Linked DNA regions of Tamandua tetradactyla. The protein of the gene in region 1 purifies or fractionates together with the protein of each later gene. This does not show direct contact. Links are inferred from orthologs where the notes say so. Each region holds a gene or a part of one and is shown in the gene's direction. Other genes may lie near its edges.

Region 1 (7,049 bases):
AAAAAGGCTCTGGGAATTAAATCAAGATATTATTATTTACCTTTGAAAGTATACCTTTTGGTAGCTAATCATGTTTGAGCTATGAAAATTCTATATGTGGCTATATGTCCCTATCATAATAAAGGATTATGCAACATGTTTTCTGTTATGAAATAGCCTGTATTTTCATTTTATGAACTTAGGGTTTTTCATCTTAACATGTTTTATTAATATTTAGCACTTAATTTGTACTAAGAATAAAATTTTTAAATCCTATATATACAACTAGATCATTCAAAACCTATTTTTTACTGTATTAAGCCATTGCTTATCTATGAAAAGTCATGATTCAAATTCACTGTGCTATCTTTGGGACATGTGGGCCAATGATCAAAAACTTACTATGAGGGAAATTGGAACTTTACAAGATCTGTATTTTCAGCTTAATCCTTAAGTATATAAAAATATATAAACATATATTAGGTCTACAAAATGAAGCCCAAGTAATCAGAGTAAAAAATAACCGATTTATTTTCATTCCTGTCCTTCACATAAAATAAGACATAATCTAAATGATATAACACATAGAATAATCCTAAGATTTAGGACAAAAATGTTCTAAAAAAACAAGAGTTAATCTTACAAACAAGCATAATCAAATAGGTAGATGTATGTCTTATCAAAGGAATCATACAGAAAAGTACACCACTGTTTACCAGATTTAGAACAAACTGCTTTATTTCAAGATATTGACCTTATAAATAAAATAACTGGCTATTTGATGGGAAACTATCATAAGTCTATGAGAAAATGATTACTGAAATATTTTCAATTCCAGGTAATAAATTAATATGAAAATTAAATGTAAACATAAAATATACTAAGATTTCATATATACAAGTATGTATAAATATGTCTGTGTATATGTGCATATAATGTTTAAAAGAAGGAAAATCAGTTTTATATAATATAGTATGATGCAACATTTCATTTAAGTATTCCATATATAAGTTTACCTCAGAAACTACCGAACTCATTTTTACTTCATTACTTTATCCAGTGTTTTAGATCAGTTTTGTGGCAAACTTTCTGTAAACAGCTAGAATATAAATGCTAAGTTCTCTGCACCACAGAGGTCTGTTGCATAGTCTTCTCTTTTTTATATTTTAACAATCTCTTCAAAAAATTCTTAGCTGTGGACCATACAAAAATATGCCTTGGTTCAGAATTGACCAGTAGACCTTAGTTTGCCTACTCCTGCTTTAAATAATTTTATTTACTTATTTATTTTACCTTTAACTTAAACAGACACTCGGATTGAATTTTTAAAAAGCATTATTTCACATGCAAGCAGTGCCATCTTCTGGTAGTTGGAACTATTTCTGTATTAACATAAAATTTATTAAACTGGAGTTGAACTGCAATCTTTGTAACAAGTTATGTATACATACTATTGAGTTAAAAAACAGCCTAAACTTCATTTAATTTTTTCAAAGTAACATGTAGAAAAAAAAAGAGCACCTTTAAGCATATCTTCAAACAGACATCATTTTTAAGAGTAAGTCAGGTACTGTATAGATTTCACTACTAAAAACTCAGCATAATTATACAGTCAATATGAACCTAAGTTTTCTCATTTCAGATTATGCAACTAAGTCATTAATTAAGCTACATCAATTCTAAAATTCCATTTGATTCTACCTTCAGAAATTTTTACATAACTAGTGCTAGGTTTTTATGTCAACCCTAAGAATCCAGAACTCCATGATGCCTCTAATTTAATCAACCCAGGTGGGTATTCAAAGATGGCTAAAAGTGGCCTTACCTCATCCATCCGACCTGCTCTCAGATGAAAATATTTGTTGGGTTGTTCCATTTCGTTTTTCTAGACAAATATTCAAATGTTTATTAATTCAACAAATATTTGTGGGGCACTCACTAAATGCCATCACCAATCCTACACAAAAATAGGGAATATATAATATAAATCACTACATAACTATTTACAATGCAACAAACGCTTTTAAGCAATTCTATGAGAGGCTATGAGAATACATAAAGGACCTTAACGTGAGAGGTCACAGAAACTTTCTTCATTTACGTTAAGAAGGGGTGTGAGCATATTAGGGATTCACAAGTGCAAAATAAACTTTCTAGGTAGAAGACAGCCTATTATGGAAAGCCTTGAGGTGGAAAAGGGAATGGAATGCAAAGTTACTAAAAGAGGCAGACAAATTAGAAAAGTAATCTGAAAGGGAGCTGCAGAGGTAGGCAAAAGCCAGAAAAGATCAAATTCGAGAGCCTTCAATATTTTTTAGAGAATGCATATTTAAACAATATTAATTATTGGCATAAACCACGTCTTCCAAGTCTTACTCATTTCTTATATCTTCTCAGAGTACAAAGAAAACATTAAATAAATATTTCTTCTATACATGAAAACCTCATATATTTTCCTAACCTTTAAATTTGTTATAGCACAATTACTTAACATTTTCAAGTAATTTACAACCCATATCATCATGAAACCCAAGGAAGTCTTTCCTGAAGTGCTGGCTTTTAGCAAAAAGTTTCTTAAGAACAAAGGCAATTTTTAAATGGAAAAAGGTGGGTGCCTTGCCCTAACGCTTGATACCAGAATTCTAGCCCTAGCACAAGCTCCGGTAGAAAGGGTGAGAGACATCTAGATTCCTTGCCCCTTCACTCTTCACCTTCCATCATGTCTTGCTCTTCACACCAAAACTGGTCATTTAAAAACAAAACACAGACTAAAAGGATGTAAGGAAAAGACCTTACTGGATCAAGTCTGCCCATCTCCCATGACACACACACTCCGCTCTGCAAACTAATCCAGCCCTGGGATTTCAAGACGGCTTCGAGTCCAGTCGCCTGGCGAGCAGGCCATGTGACCGACCGCCTGCAGAGCTCGTCCACAGAGAGGTCACTTCTGGGGCCAGTTAACCAAGACATTGTCTGAGCGGACCTGACCTACTCAGGTGTGTCCTGGAGTCACAGAGACCCCAAGGGAGGGAGCCTACGGCAGAGTCCATGCAGAGGCCGGACACTTGGACCTCAGGACTAAACCCGAAGGCCCAGAAGGCCGAGGGGCCCGCGCCCTCCGACGGAGCCCCAGCGTGCGGACACCCGGATCTCAGCTCGAGTCGGCGGGCCCTTCCCGCACTCTCACCCGCAGGCCGAGGGCTAAATGGGGGTCTTAGTGAAAACTCGGGGATGTGTTAGGCAGCAACGAGAACATGAGCACACTGCCAGGCCTTTCTCGTCCTACGTAATCAAACATAGCATCTGGTAGACGTCAAAGTCCTCGGTTTGCATTTTACGAGCCCATTCCCCGGCTGTCTCAAAGGAAAATCGTTTCACAACTGAATGGGGACTACTCGTGCAGAATCTCCGGACCCTCCCACCCAAACGGGCAGAGCCCCGGAACGTGTGGGCCCAGTCCGCCGTGACGTCCTCGGCGCGACCGGCCTCGCGGCGGGATGACCTTCACCCCGGCGCGGCCCGGACTCGCTCCGCCACCTCGGGCTGGGCTCGCCCTCTCACCCCCGGCCAGTTCTCTCACACACGGAGGACGACTCGCCGAGGCGTCGGGAGAATGGTCCGACTTCCCACAGGGTCGCGGCGGCGTCCCCACGGCCGCCTCGCCTCAGGCGGGCAGTCCCGCGGGCCGGTGTGCCCCTCGCCTGTGCGATCCACAGGCCTAGTGAGCGACCACATCATCAGGATCTCCCTCCTTCCCTCGGCTTCATCTAGTTGACGCGACCAGAGGACCCACGCGCGAACACCTGCGCGTCACAGAGCGCCACGCTCTCCCACGCGCCTGCGGGAAAAGCCCGGACGAGGCGGAAGGGGATCGCGCATGCGCACAGGCTTCGCGGCGTGGGGCGGTAGGCGTACGGGAGGGGGCTCATCGCGCCTACGCAGAGGCGGGAGGGCGGGTGGAGGCTCGTTGCGCCTGCGCAGAGGCGGGAGGGAGGCGTGGAGGCTCGCCGCGCCTGCGCAGAGGCGGGAGGGAGGAGTGGAGGCTCAACGCGCCTGCGCAAAGGCTCTCCGGCGTGCGGCGTAGTTACTTTTGAAACGAGCGGCGGGAACTGCTGCTGTGGTCGCCGTGGCCGCTCTTCGCTGTTCAAGAAGCGTTCTCTGTTCCGGACCATGGCGCGGCAGCTCTCCCGGGAGCAGGGCATCACGCTGCGCGGGAGCGCCGAAGTCGTGGCAGAGTTCTTCTGTAAGTCCACTCCCGCGGCGGGCGGGAGAGGCGAGGCCCGGGCCGCGCCGCCGCGAAGGCCGAGGTGGGGCCTGAGGCAGGGGCAGCCCACGGGCGCCAGGCGGTCGCGAACCGACCCGACCGCAGCCTCCGGACCTCCTGCTGAGGAAGGGCCTCAGCCAGGGGCAGGTCCTGGAGACTGGCGCCGGCGCGCTGCTGACGGCGGCGGAGCTTGGGCCCCGGAGGGTGAGTGCCGGCCCCGCCCTCGGCCCTTTCCCGGGGGTGAGTGCCGGCCCCGCCCTCGGCCCTTCTCCGGGGGTGAGTGCCGGCCCCGCCCTCGGCCCTTCCCTGGGACCGAGGACTCCAGGGCTTAGGGCACAGGACGACGCAGTGGGTCCCTGTGTATATTTTCCTGGCTCCGCACCCCACCCCCAGGTAGTTCTGAGTCAAGCGTGAACTGTGGGAAGCAGTGTTCTTGATCAGGCTTTCTGTAGTCGGGACTCCTGATGGTGCCTGGCAAGATTTGGGAGAAAACAGGGTGACAAAGTCTTGCCAAGGATTTGTAATGCCACTTTGTACCTATTTTGCTTTCAAGAAAGTAGGGGTATTTGCGTGTTCATGTTTCCAGTTTTAGAGCATTAATGAAACTATCCACATCTATATAGATGTTTCATTTTCAAAGTTACAAAATGATAATGATTTTTCTATAACATTTCTTTTGCTTTCAGCTTTTGGAATCAATAGCATTTTATATCAGCGTGGCATCTATCCATCTGAAACCTTTACTCGAGTGCAGAAATATGGACTCACCTTGCTTGTAACTACAGATCCTGAGCTCATAAAATACCTAAATAATGTAGTGGACCAACTAAAAGGTATTTGTTAGTTGTAAACAGTCTGAGTTTTGCATCCCTTCTGAGATCCAGATTTTCTAGCATCTTGGTGACTGTTTTTCAGCCCTTTGGGAGAGGTAAAACAAACTACCTTCTCAAATATTGTTATTGTCAATGAGAAGAAGCAAATAATATATAGATTGAGGGAAATCCTACCCTTCTGCATTCTGAATGGGGCTATTCTATCCTCAGCATCTTGTATTACATGAACTAGAACAGGAGCTGGGTTGTTAATGGGACAAGTTATCTGAGCAAATGAGACAAGTTCCAAAAGACCAGTGGTAAGAATTTGCTGAGAAAGGGAAAAGGACCTGAAAAGGCAGGGTTGCTTTGCAATGTAGTGGAACAAACATAAATGCCTTATTATGTGTTGCAGATTGGTTATACAAGTGTTCAGTTCAAAAACTGGTTGTGGTCATCTCAAATATTGAAAGTGGTGAAGTCCTTGAAAGATGGCAGTTTGATATTGAGTGTGACAAGACTGCAAAAGATGAGAGGTATGAATAAAATTATTTTTACTCTGATGTATTCTTTCCAAAACTTGTCTTCATTCCTAAATGAGTTAAAATTATAACTTTAGTATTTATGGTGTTACATGTGAAATTGCAAGATGTACTAAGTGGACCATTTAAGGAATTGTGCTTGAAGGTACTCTTAACTGTAAGAGATTTTCCTAGGCTCTCCCCAGCTTAACATGCAGCTCTGCTGCATTTCCTTTAAGCTATGAACTTCCTAAGGTGCTTCAAAAAAGTCTAAATCTAATGCCTGGATAAGAAGTGCCTGTCATTATATGCTGATGTCCACCATTGTCCTACATATGCTTTTCTGTAAACTCAGAAGCATAATTATTTCTCATTATGGAGCATGGTTTGCTTCTAAAGCCTTTAGTGTATTTCAGGAAACTAATTTGATATTTTATTTGAAGCAATTGGGAGGTAGATATATAAGCATTATTAAAAATGTCAAAATGATTGTACCAAAATGATTTTAGATACCATTTATTAATTTTATTTTAGGAGGTCTTGAAGTTTTCCTAACTCAGAGATGCTGGCAGTTTTCTAAACATCTGATACTAAATGACCTGATATTATGATTGGAAGAACTGATGAAATAATGATGCTTATTGTACCTACTAAGTTCATTCTTTTTTTAAACTTCTTTTTGATGCATTACTTATTTCAGAAGCATTTAATCAGATAATCTTAGCTATTGCTATTGTTATATTTTAAATGACTTGTTAAAACCTAAAATGAATTGACTTGATTTTCTTGATAGTGCACCCAGAGAAAAGTCTCAGAAAGCTATCCAAGATGAAATTCGTTCCGTGATCAGACAAATCACAGCTACAATAACATTTCTGCCACTATTGGAAGTTTCTTGTAAGTTTATATTATGCAATTTCTCATACTAAGCTACTAATTTAAGAATCACTCCTTTATTACATTTTTTCTTTAGTTTATAAGTAGGGGGAAAAGTGAAAATAGTATATATACATATAAAGTAAACCTAATATATAAGCATTCTAGAAAATTTGGAAATACTAAAAAAGAGAAATGTCTTTCATAATACTCGTTCTTGAATGTTTTGATGTAATTCCTTTCAATTTTTTAATTTTATATGAGTAAGATTATGCTATAACTATGTCTGACTATTCAGACTTAGTCCTTCATTCATCAAATATTTATTCAATGCCTGGTATATGCCAGGTATTGTTTGGGCAACTAGGATATAGTCGTGATCCAAACCAAAGTGTTAGCTTTCCTGTGCCTTACATTCATGTCTTATGTAATTATAAACTTACTGTGTATCTTAGAAATGGTTTCCTCTTTGAAAAAAACAAAAAAATCTTGAATTTCTCTTCAGATTAGGTAGAATAGTGTGGTATTTTTTGTATTAAAATGAATTTCCATTGAGAAAAATAAATTAGTGATTAGCATTCAGGTTAAACCATCTTT
Region 2 (7,897 bases), on another chromosome or scaffold:
TAACTTCTAGTACTTCAACTCTATGAAAACCAAACAACCCATAAAAATAATTTAAAAATGCATGTGATAACAAAGAATCTATTTATAGTAGTAATTGAAAAATGACAATTTCCTGCTGATTACAGTCATACAACCTTTTCAAAAGTTGTAAGCAGAAAAACAAAACAAAGAAATATGCAAAAATGAAAAACAGTTGGGCTGGAATGGGATCAAGGAAGGATGCAAACAGGCTTTGAACGCATCTATGTTTATCTCTTTAAAATAAAAAAACATGATAAAATATTAAGATTTGCTAATATTAATATTAAGGTACATGGGCACTCATATCATTCTCCACACTTTCTATGTGGCTGAAATAGTTCATAACGTTAAAGAAAAAAAGTTTTACAATTTTATGCTGGCATAATATCATAGAACTTTTCTCCTTTACAAAAAGTTTAATATTGTTATATAGAGAGTCATCAGGAAAATGAAGCTTAAGTCATAATTTACACCTTAATCTAAGATAAATTCCAAAGAATCAAGATTTAAATGTTAAAAAAAGGGCAACCATGAAAGTACTTAGAAGAAATCAGAGGAGAATTATTTAATTTTATAATCTCAAAGTAGGGAAGAACTTTCTAATTATGTCACAAAATCCAGAAGCCATTCAAGAAAAATATTAATAAACTACATTTTAAAAGTCTTAAGGTAAAATGCCACCTTTGAGCAAAGCTAAATGGAACAACGGTTAAAAAAAAAAGTTACATCTCATAGCTCAGTCAAATATATAATATCTAGTAATACTATATACAAACTCCCAAAAATTAGAGAAAAGCTAATCATCAAACCCAAAAATGGGCAAAAGACCGTATACATAAAAGGAAATGTGCATTTTTAACATACAAAGAGATGTCCAACTTCACTCAATATATGATAAGCGAAAATTTTAAATATAAGATACTATTTTTACCTTTCATATGTCAAAGATCGAAAATACCTGATAACACCGGAAATAGAAAAACAGATACTCTTATATATTACCAATGGGAGTATCCACTGAAACAATCTCTAAGGGGGACAACTTGAAATATTTATCAAATTTTCTAAATTCATTTACTCTTTGACCTAGCAAGACACTGTGTATCTTTTTGCATTTTGAACCTTAAGACTTACTTTCTCCTCAAAAAATTAAATAAAATTTAAAATTTCAGGGTTTTACTTAAGTGTTTTTATAGTATTTTTCTAATAAAAATGTGAGGAAATGAAGATTGGGTTATTTCAAAGCAGTTTACTTAATGAATTTGGTTTATATTTGAATCAAGTTATATTTAAGTTCAATCTGAAGTTTAGCAAACGAGTATGATTCATTCTGTTTCGGGGCTTTTCATTTAATTTGGCTCAACAATAGGTGCTACCTAAAACAGACTGGTCCTCCCTTAACACAGACTTTACTGCTCCCAAAAAATTTGCAAGCAAGCTTAAGATACTAACAAATTCTGGGGGCCTGTTACCTATAAGCAGTTTTCCAACTCTGTCACCAAGCCCCCTAAAAAAATACTGAAAGGCTTGCAGTCTACCAAAGGGGAAATTTTTTTCATCAATTTTGAAAATAGTTAAGTTTTACTGAGAGCAATTTTCTGTTCATTTAAGAACAGGCTAGTTAAAAAGAAAAAGGACAAGAAATATTTGAAACAAAATAAAGGAAAACTCAGAACAGAGTCAATAATTCTGACGGTAACAAAGTTCACAAGGTCTTGTTAAACAATGCTTAAACTACTTCATGTACCCTCTTATTTGCTAGGGTGAGGACAGTCAATCAATAAAGGAAGTTACTGAGCTGCTTTCAATACTTCCAAAATCATAAGGAATGGATAGTGATGACAGCATAACACTGACTTTAACTGATACCACTGAATTGTATAAGTAAAGAGTTAAAATGGGAAATTTTATTTTGTATATATGTTACTATTATTAAAAAAAAAGTATAAAGGCAGCTGTATATTTACCTAGAATTAGGATACTCTGCCAGGCTAATAAAATAAGTCAGATTTGCTACCAGCTAGAACACCAACAAAGCATGCTCATACTGGTTTTCTCATCTATTGAAATAACTATCTGACTAGCAGTTATACGTACCTTTCATAAAATGAGAAAACACACAAGGAAATAAATACAATTTATTTTAAACAGAAAAATTTTGAGAAGTCTAGTATCTTACAAGATTCTTAAAATTGAAAATGTGCATATCTCAGATCTAGCGATGTCACTTCTAGGAACTTATCCTATAGAAATACTGATACAAAGAGAAAACTGTACCCCTAAATGCCCGTAGAAGACAAATGTAAAACAAATTATGGTATATCCAATGGAATACTACTGAGTTTTTAAAAAGAATAAGATCATATCTAGTGTATTGACAGAAAAATACCCACATACTGTCTTAAATGAAATATCAAGCTAAAAACTATGTATATATGATGTTCCTATTCTTATTCAAAAAAAAATTTAAACATGTCCACAAACCACACATAGAAAAATTTATGAAAGGACATATCAAACTTAATGGAGACTACTCTAGAGTAAGAAGGGGAGGATATGGTGAAATCAGAATATTCATTCATTGCTGGTACATTTGCAAATCATCTATGTGATAAGAGATTTGTATCTGAAATATATAAAGAACTCTTACAACTCAAAAATAAAAAGATAAATAACTAAGAAATGGGCAAAGCAGAGTACACAAGTGCTTAAGTAGTAAAATGCTTGCCTTCCATTCAGGGGACCCAGGTTCGATTCCCAGACCTTGCACACCCCCACACCCCCCAAAAAAGGGCAGAGGATCGGAATAGGTATTTCTCCAAAGAAGATGTACAAATGGCCACTAAGCAAATGAAAAAATGCTCAATACCATTAATCATCAGGGAAATGCAAATCGAAACCAAATGAGATACCATTTCACACCCACTAGGATAGTTAAAAACAAAAGGACAAAAATAAGTCTTGGTGAAGATGTGGTAAAAGTGGAATACTCATTCATGCTAGTGGGAATGTAAAACTGTGGTTGCTTTGGAAAACAGTTTGGCAGTTCTTTCAAACTTAAATACAGAGTTACCATATGACCCAGGAATTTCACTCCTAATATACCCAAAAGAATTTAAAGCACAAGTTCACACAAAAACAAGAAAGATTGATGGCAACATCATTCATAATAGCTAAAAGGTGGGAACAATCCAAATTTCTACCAACTTATGAGCATACAAAATGTGGCTATCTATACATGGAATATACTTTTCAGCCACATAAAGGAATGAAGTACTGATACATGCTATATTATAAATGAAATTTGAAAACATTATCCTATGTGAAATAAGCCAGTCACAGAAAACCAACATGTCCAGAACAGGCAGATCAAGAGAGACGGAAAGTAGACTAGCTGTTGCCTAGGGATGGGAGTGGGGTGGAGGAAGTTATGTAGCTTGACTGTTAAGTGCTTCTCTCTGGGGTAATGAAAATATTCCAAGATTAGATTATGGTGATGGTTGCACAACTCTATGAATATACTTAAAACCAATGAGTTGTATTATTTATGGTGATTTACATCTCAATAACTCTGTTTAAAAAAAAAGATGCTTAAAGATTAATATATAGATTAATTAAATATAATTCATTAACTATATCCAACAGCAGGAAAAAATACCCAGCAGTTCTAAGACCCAAGACAGACATCATGGATAACGTACCAATTCTGATCTCCACTTCTCATTACAGAAGATGCCAAACACAGCTTTTCCCGGATGGACCATGGCTCTGTGGGGCCAGAACTCAACAGTTTGTGTTCTGAAAGTAGAGAAAGAGTATACAGATAACCAGAGACACGAGTTTTAAGCACCAGAGAACTAAAAGCCTAATACAAAACACCCAACTTGTTAGCACAAAGTAGGCTCTTATAGCACCAAATCTGGATTTTCGCCGTTAAAGCGAAATAGCTGTGTATCACGGTGCGGGGTGCGGGTGGGGGGTACTTATTCTTTGCATGAGAATTGCACGGTGTGTGGTATATGGGAGAACATTTGATTTCCTCAAAACCCAAGGCTTCAAGCTCCGCTTTAATAAAAGATAGGAAATGACGTATTAAGCCGAAAAAGTTTTCTCGAAAGCCCCAATTTTAAGAATACTTTCTCTAATTTAAAAATACAGGTTTATTTCCCAGGATTCCGAGCGGCTAGCTCCGCCTGCTGCCCCGCCTCCTTCTTAGCATAAAACTGTTTACTAGTCTCATTACCCCGCCCCCAACTGTCGGGCCTAAAAGGCCTTCTCTACCTATTAAACATAAGGAAAATAATTGAGATGTACGAAACTCAATTTTCCCGGTGGCAGAAAAAGCTCACGATTAAAAGACCCCATTTCCACTGCCTCACAAACACATTCGCTAGAAACTGAACTGATGTTTGAGACACCAGCCCCTCCGTATGATGGCCGAATCTGCGTCTGCACGCCCAAGTTTCTAGAGCGCCTTTATGCCTTCCTCCGCGGAGCTCCCTACATACAGGGATTCGCTAAATACTTCCCTTACGCCTCCGCTCCCTCCCTGAGACACAGGACCCTATACTTCGGGCCCCCAACCGTTGGCCTTTACTACGCCGTCAAGCGCAGGTCTCTGGACACCCTGGGCTCTCAGCCAAACCACCCCAACCACTCCCTAAATGTTAGACTGAAATCTGGTGCCTAGCCTCGGCTCTACAATGGCCTTCCGCTCAAAAGTAGCGCAGACACTCACTGCCCGTTCCTGCCGCCATCTTGGCCCCGAAGTCTACTATCCCGGAAGAGTGTGAGTCAGGTAGGACCGGATCCCGGAGAACTCTGGGAAATCGAGTACGGGAGTTTGTTCGCGATGACTCCTGGGAAATGTAGGTTTGTTTGTTTGTTTGTTTTTCCGACCCCCCCCCACCTCCCCCAACGGAGTACGCAAGTTAAAGTAGCGTTGCTAAGGAAGGACAGGGGATGGCAACTGAAGCCTCAGGCTTCTTAGGAAATGAAATGTCTAGGGGTTACGCTAAAGGGTTAAGCCGGACGAATCCGAAGTGACTCGATTCCAAATTTCCGACAGTTGGTAACCCGGACCCACGTGAGAGTGGAGAGGTCAAATAGAAGCAGAAGTCCCCTATTTCGCCCGCCTCCCTTCTTTGCGCTGATTGGTAGCTGCAGGCTCTTTTGTCTGATTGGCCGAGTGAACGGAGCGCGTAATTTAAAACAATGTATCAGTAACAAAGCTGCGCCTCGTGGGCGGAGTTGTGCTGCGGACCGCTAAGGTCCAGGATCCGCAGCTGAATGAGTGAGTCGGTTCCGGAGCGGGAACGAGTGTCGCGGCTTCAGGTAAGTGTGCAGCTCGACTGGAGCCCGGGTTATCAGCTCTTGATTTCGCAGAACGGGCTTTCAGAAGGGGGCACCGCCACCATCTCTTTTTTTCTTAATACCTTTGCCCTCGTGGTGGACTTGGGAAGAGGTTGGAAAAGGAGCCTGGGGATCCTGACCTTTGACTCTGCCCGTGCCCCATAGTACGGAAAGGCGAGGTACCCTACTGGCCTTCTAGTTTTGGAGGTGTATCTCTTTTCTTTCCTATTCAAGGTCGGAAATGCCTCTCCAGAAAGGTTTCAAAGATTAACTCCTCCTCTCAACCCCTTCCCCGTATTTGGAGGGAAAAGGGAATAGGAATTCAGGCAGGCAAACCAGGTTTCCAAGGGTAAGGGGATTGCTTCTTACCTAGAATTTGCAACCCCTTCTGTCCTTAAAGTTTTCCTCCCTACCCACTCTTGTCTCTTTTCAGACCAAAGCTGTCCCTGCCGACATGTCACAAGGGATCCTTTCTCCACCAGCCGGCTTATTGTCGGATGAGGAACTCGCAGTTTCCCCTATGTTTGAGTCTACAGCTGCAGATTTAGGGTCTGTGATACGCAAAGACCTACTGTCAGACTGCTCTGTCATCTCCACTTCCCTGGAGAACAAGCAACAGGTAACAGAGTTGGGGCGTGGCTTGGGGTAAGAAAGTGATATCTCCACCCTACTAGTTGTCTATACAGGGTGTTAGGTCAAAGGCAAGCAAAACTGAGATTCTGAGAGATCGGTTCAAAGTGAAGGGTAATGACCAGTCAAAAATGTAGAGTTGGGTTTCAATAAGAAGAATTAGTATTAGCATTGCATTAATAAAATACCATCATGTCCCTCCCAGTCCTGTTAAATAATTTGCAAAAGGTCATACTGCCATTAAGTAGGTGAAATGTACACTCAGGTTTTAATAATATCAACCATCATTACGATTATTGAGACTTTCTTTTTGTTAGGCCATGATTTCTCAGCTGCAGCATTATTGACATCGGGGGCTGGATAATTCTTTATTGTGGGGGACTGTCTCGGAAATTATAAGATGTTTAGCAGCTTTCCAGGCCTCAACCCCCTGGATGCCAGTAGTACTAACCAACTGGTGACCCAAAAAAGTCAGACATTGCTAAATGTCCCTGGGAGCTTGGGGAGGGGTAGGGGGAACGTTTGCCCTGCTAGAGAACCACTGTACTAGACAGGCCCTATGTTAAACACTGAATCTACATTGTCACATCTTGTCTTCAAAAGTCTTCTTTCTCATAAAGGGCAGGAGCTTTGATGATAACCCTCACTATGAACTACTAGAGCCTCTTAAATTCCTGAGCCATGATAGGCACTAAATATCTGTAGAATGAATGAGGTGGGTGCTATTATTAACCTCATTCTACAGATGAAAAAAACTGAGGCAGAGAGAATTTAAAGAATCTGTTTAAGGTCTCATAGTTATTAAATGATGGGATTAGGACTCAAATTCAGGTGTGTCTGCCTTTATAGTGCTTAACTACTGTGCTTTGCCCTAATATCACATTCTGACTTTCATACCAGTCAACTAATTCTGAGATAATCAGTATGGCAATGAACAGTGGCAGGATACTGATGAGATAGGGAAGAGTGACAGAGTAGTGAAAAAGTCCATATGAGTTGGGATGATTGTGAAAGCAAAGAGTACCTGCAGAGACATTTGGGGTAGAAGGGGGTAGAATCACTAGCATGATTCCTAAGAACGGTGCTATGTTTGCCTATCTGCTCAGATGATTAATCTGTTTTTTTGGGTTGAAATTCTGCCACAGGTTCCATCTGAGGATAGTACCGAGAAAGTGAAAGTATACCTGAGGATCAGGCCCTTGTTACCTTCAGAATTGGAACGACAGGAAGATCAGGTGAGTATCTGAGGAGGAAGGACTCAAGATGGAATGATGTAATATAGAAGTAGTTCCCAGGAATGCTTCCTTTTGTGACAACTGTTTTCCCCACCCACAGAGCTGTGTCCGCATTGAGAATGGAGAGACTCTTGTTCTACAAGCACCTAAGGACTCTTTTGCCTTGAAAAGCAATGAGCGAGGAATTGGCCAAGCCACCCACAGGTTCACCTTTTCCCAGGTATGAAGGTTCTGGGCTGTGAACAAAGAACCAGCATCTAGGGACAATTTCATTTCCTCTCTAGAAAGAACACTTCTTTACTTGACTGTGAGATCTTAAGTTGTGTGTGTGACTCTCTGTATGTTCATGTGTATATAGCCATGCATGAGTTTGTATATGTACCTATATATATACACGCATATAAATACACACATGTACACATCTACAGTTTGGGGAGGGGTACTGTTATGTGCTAGTACTGTCTGAAGTACTTTATGTGCATTAATTCACGACTCTATTGTTGTGATTATTATTGTTGTTAATCCTATTTTCCCCGCAAGGATACTGTGGCTCAATGAAGTAACATATATGGTACAGTAGGACTTGGATCCAGAGCCATCCATCCCTAAAGTTCATTGTGAACCATTATTCTGCCTCATTGAGTGTGTAGCATTCCAGA

Evidence for each region. Proteins that work in one complex are often made in the same cells at the same time.
Region 2: the proteins of MAD2L1 (region 1) and KIF20A purify together in Homo sapiens (affinity purification with mass spectrometry; 4 studies listed by BioGRID and IntAct, with this or other methods). This does not show direct contact. The link is inferred for Tamandua tetradactyla from reciprocal best matches to the Homo sapiens genes MAD2L1 and KIF20A.

What each region holds. Positions count from the first base shown.
Region 1 is NC_135348.1:48,646,117-48,653,165, forward strand, and holds the start of MAD2L1 (mitotic spindle assembly checkpoint protein MAD2A), read left to right. Parts: upstream 1-3,994; 5' UTR 3,995-4,149; coding exon 4,150-4,222; intron 4,223-4,929; coding exon 4,930-5,076; intron 5,077-5,470; coding exon 5,471-5,591; intron 5,592-6,369; coding exon 6,370-6,473; intron 6,474-7,049. UniProt on the Homo sapiens protein: Component of the spindle-assembly checkpoint that prevents the onset of anaphase until all chromosomes are properly aligned at the metaphase plate.
Region 2 is NC_135346.1:17,854,175-17,862,071, forward strand, and holds the start of KIF20A (kinesin-like protein KIF20A), read left to right. Parts: upstream 1-4,834; 5' UTR 4,835-4,889; exon of another isoform or gene 4,890-5,089; 5' UTR 5,090-5,310; coding exon 5,311-5,355; intron 5,356-5,806; coding exon 5,807-5,992; intron 5,993-7,148; coding exon 7,149-7,238; intron 7,239-7,338; coding exon 7,339-7,458; intron 7,459-7,897. Other genes in the region: BRD8 (bromodomain-containing protein 8), read right to left, coding at 3,723-3,819, 4,760-4,778. UniProt on the Homo sapiens protein: Mitotic kinesin required for chromosome passenger complex (CPC)-mediated cytokinesis. Following phosphorylation by PLK1, involved in recruitment of PLK1 to the central spindle. Interacts with guanosine triphosphate (GTP)-bound forms of RAB6A and RAB6B.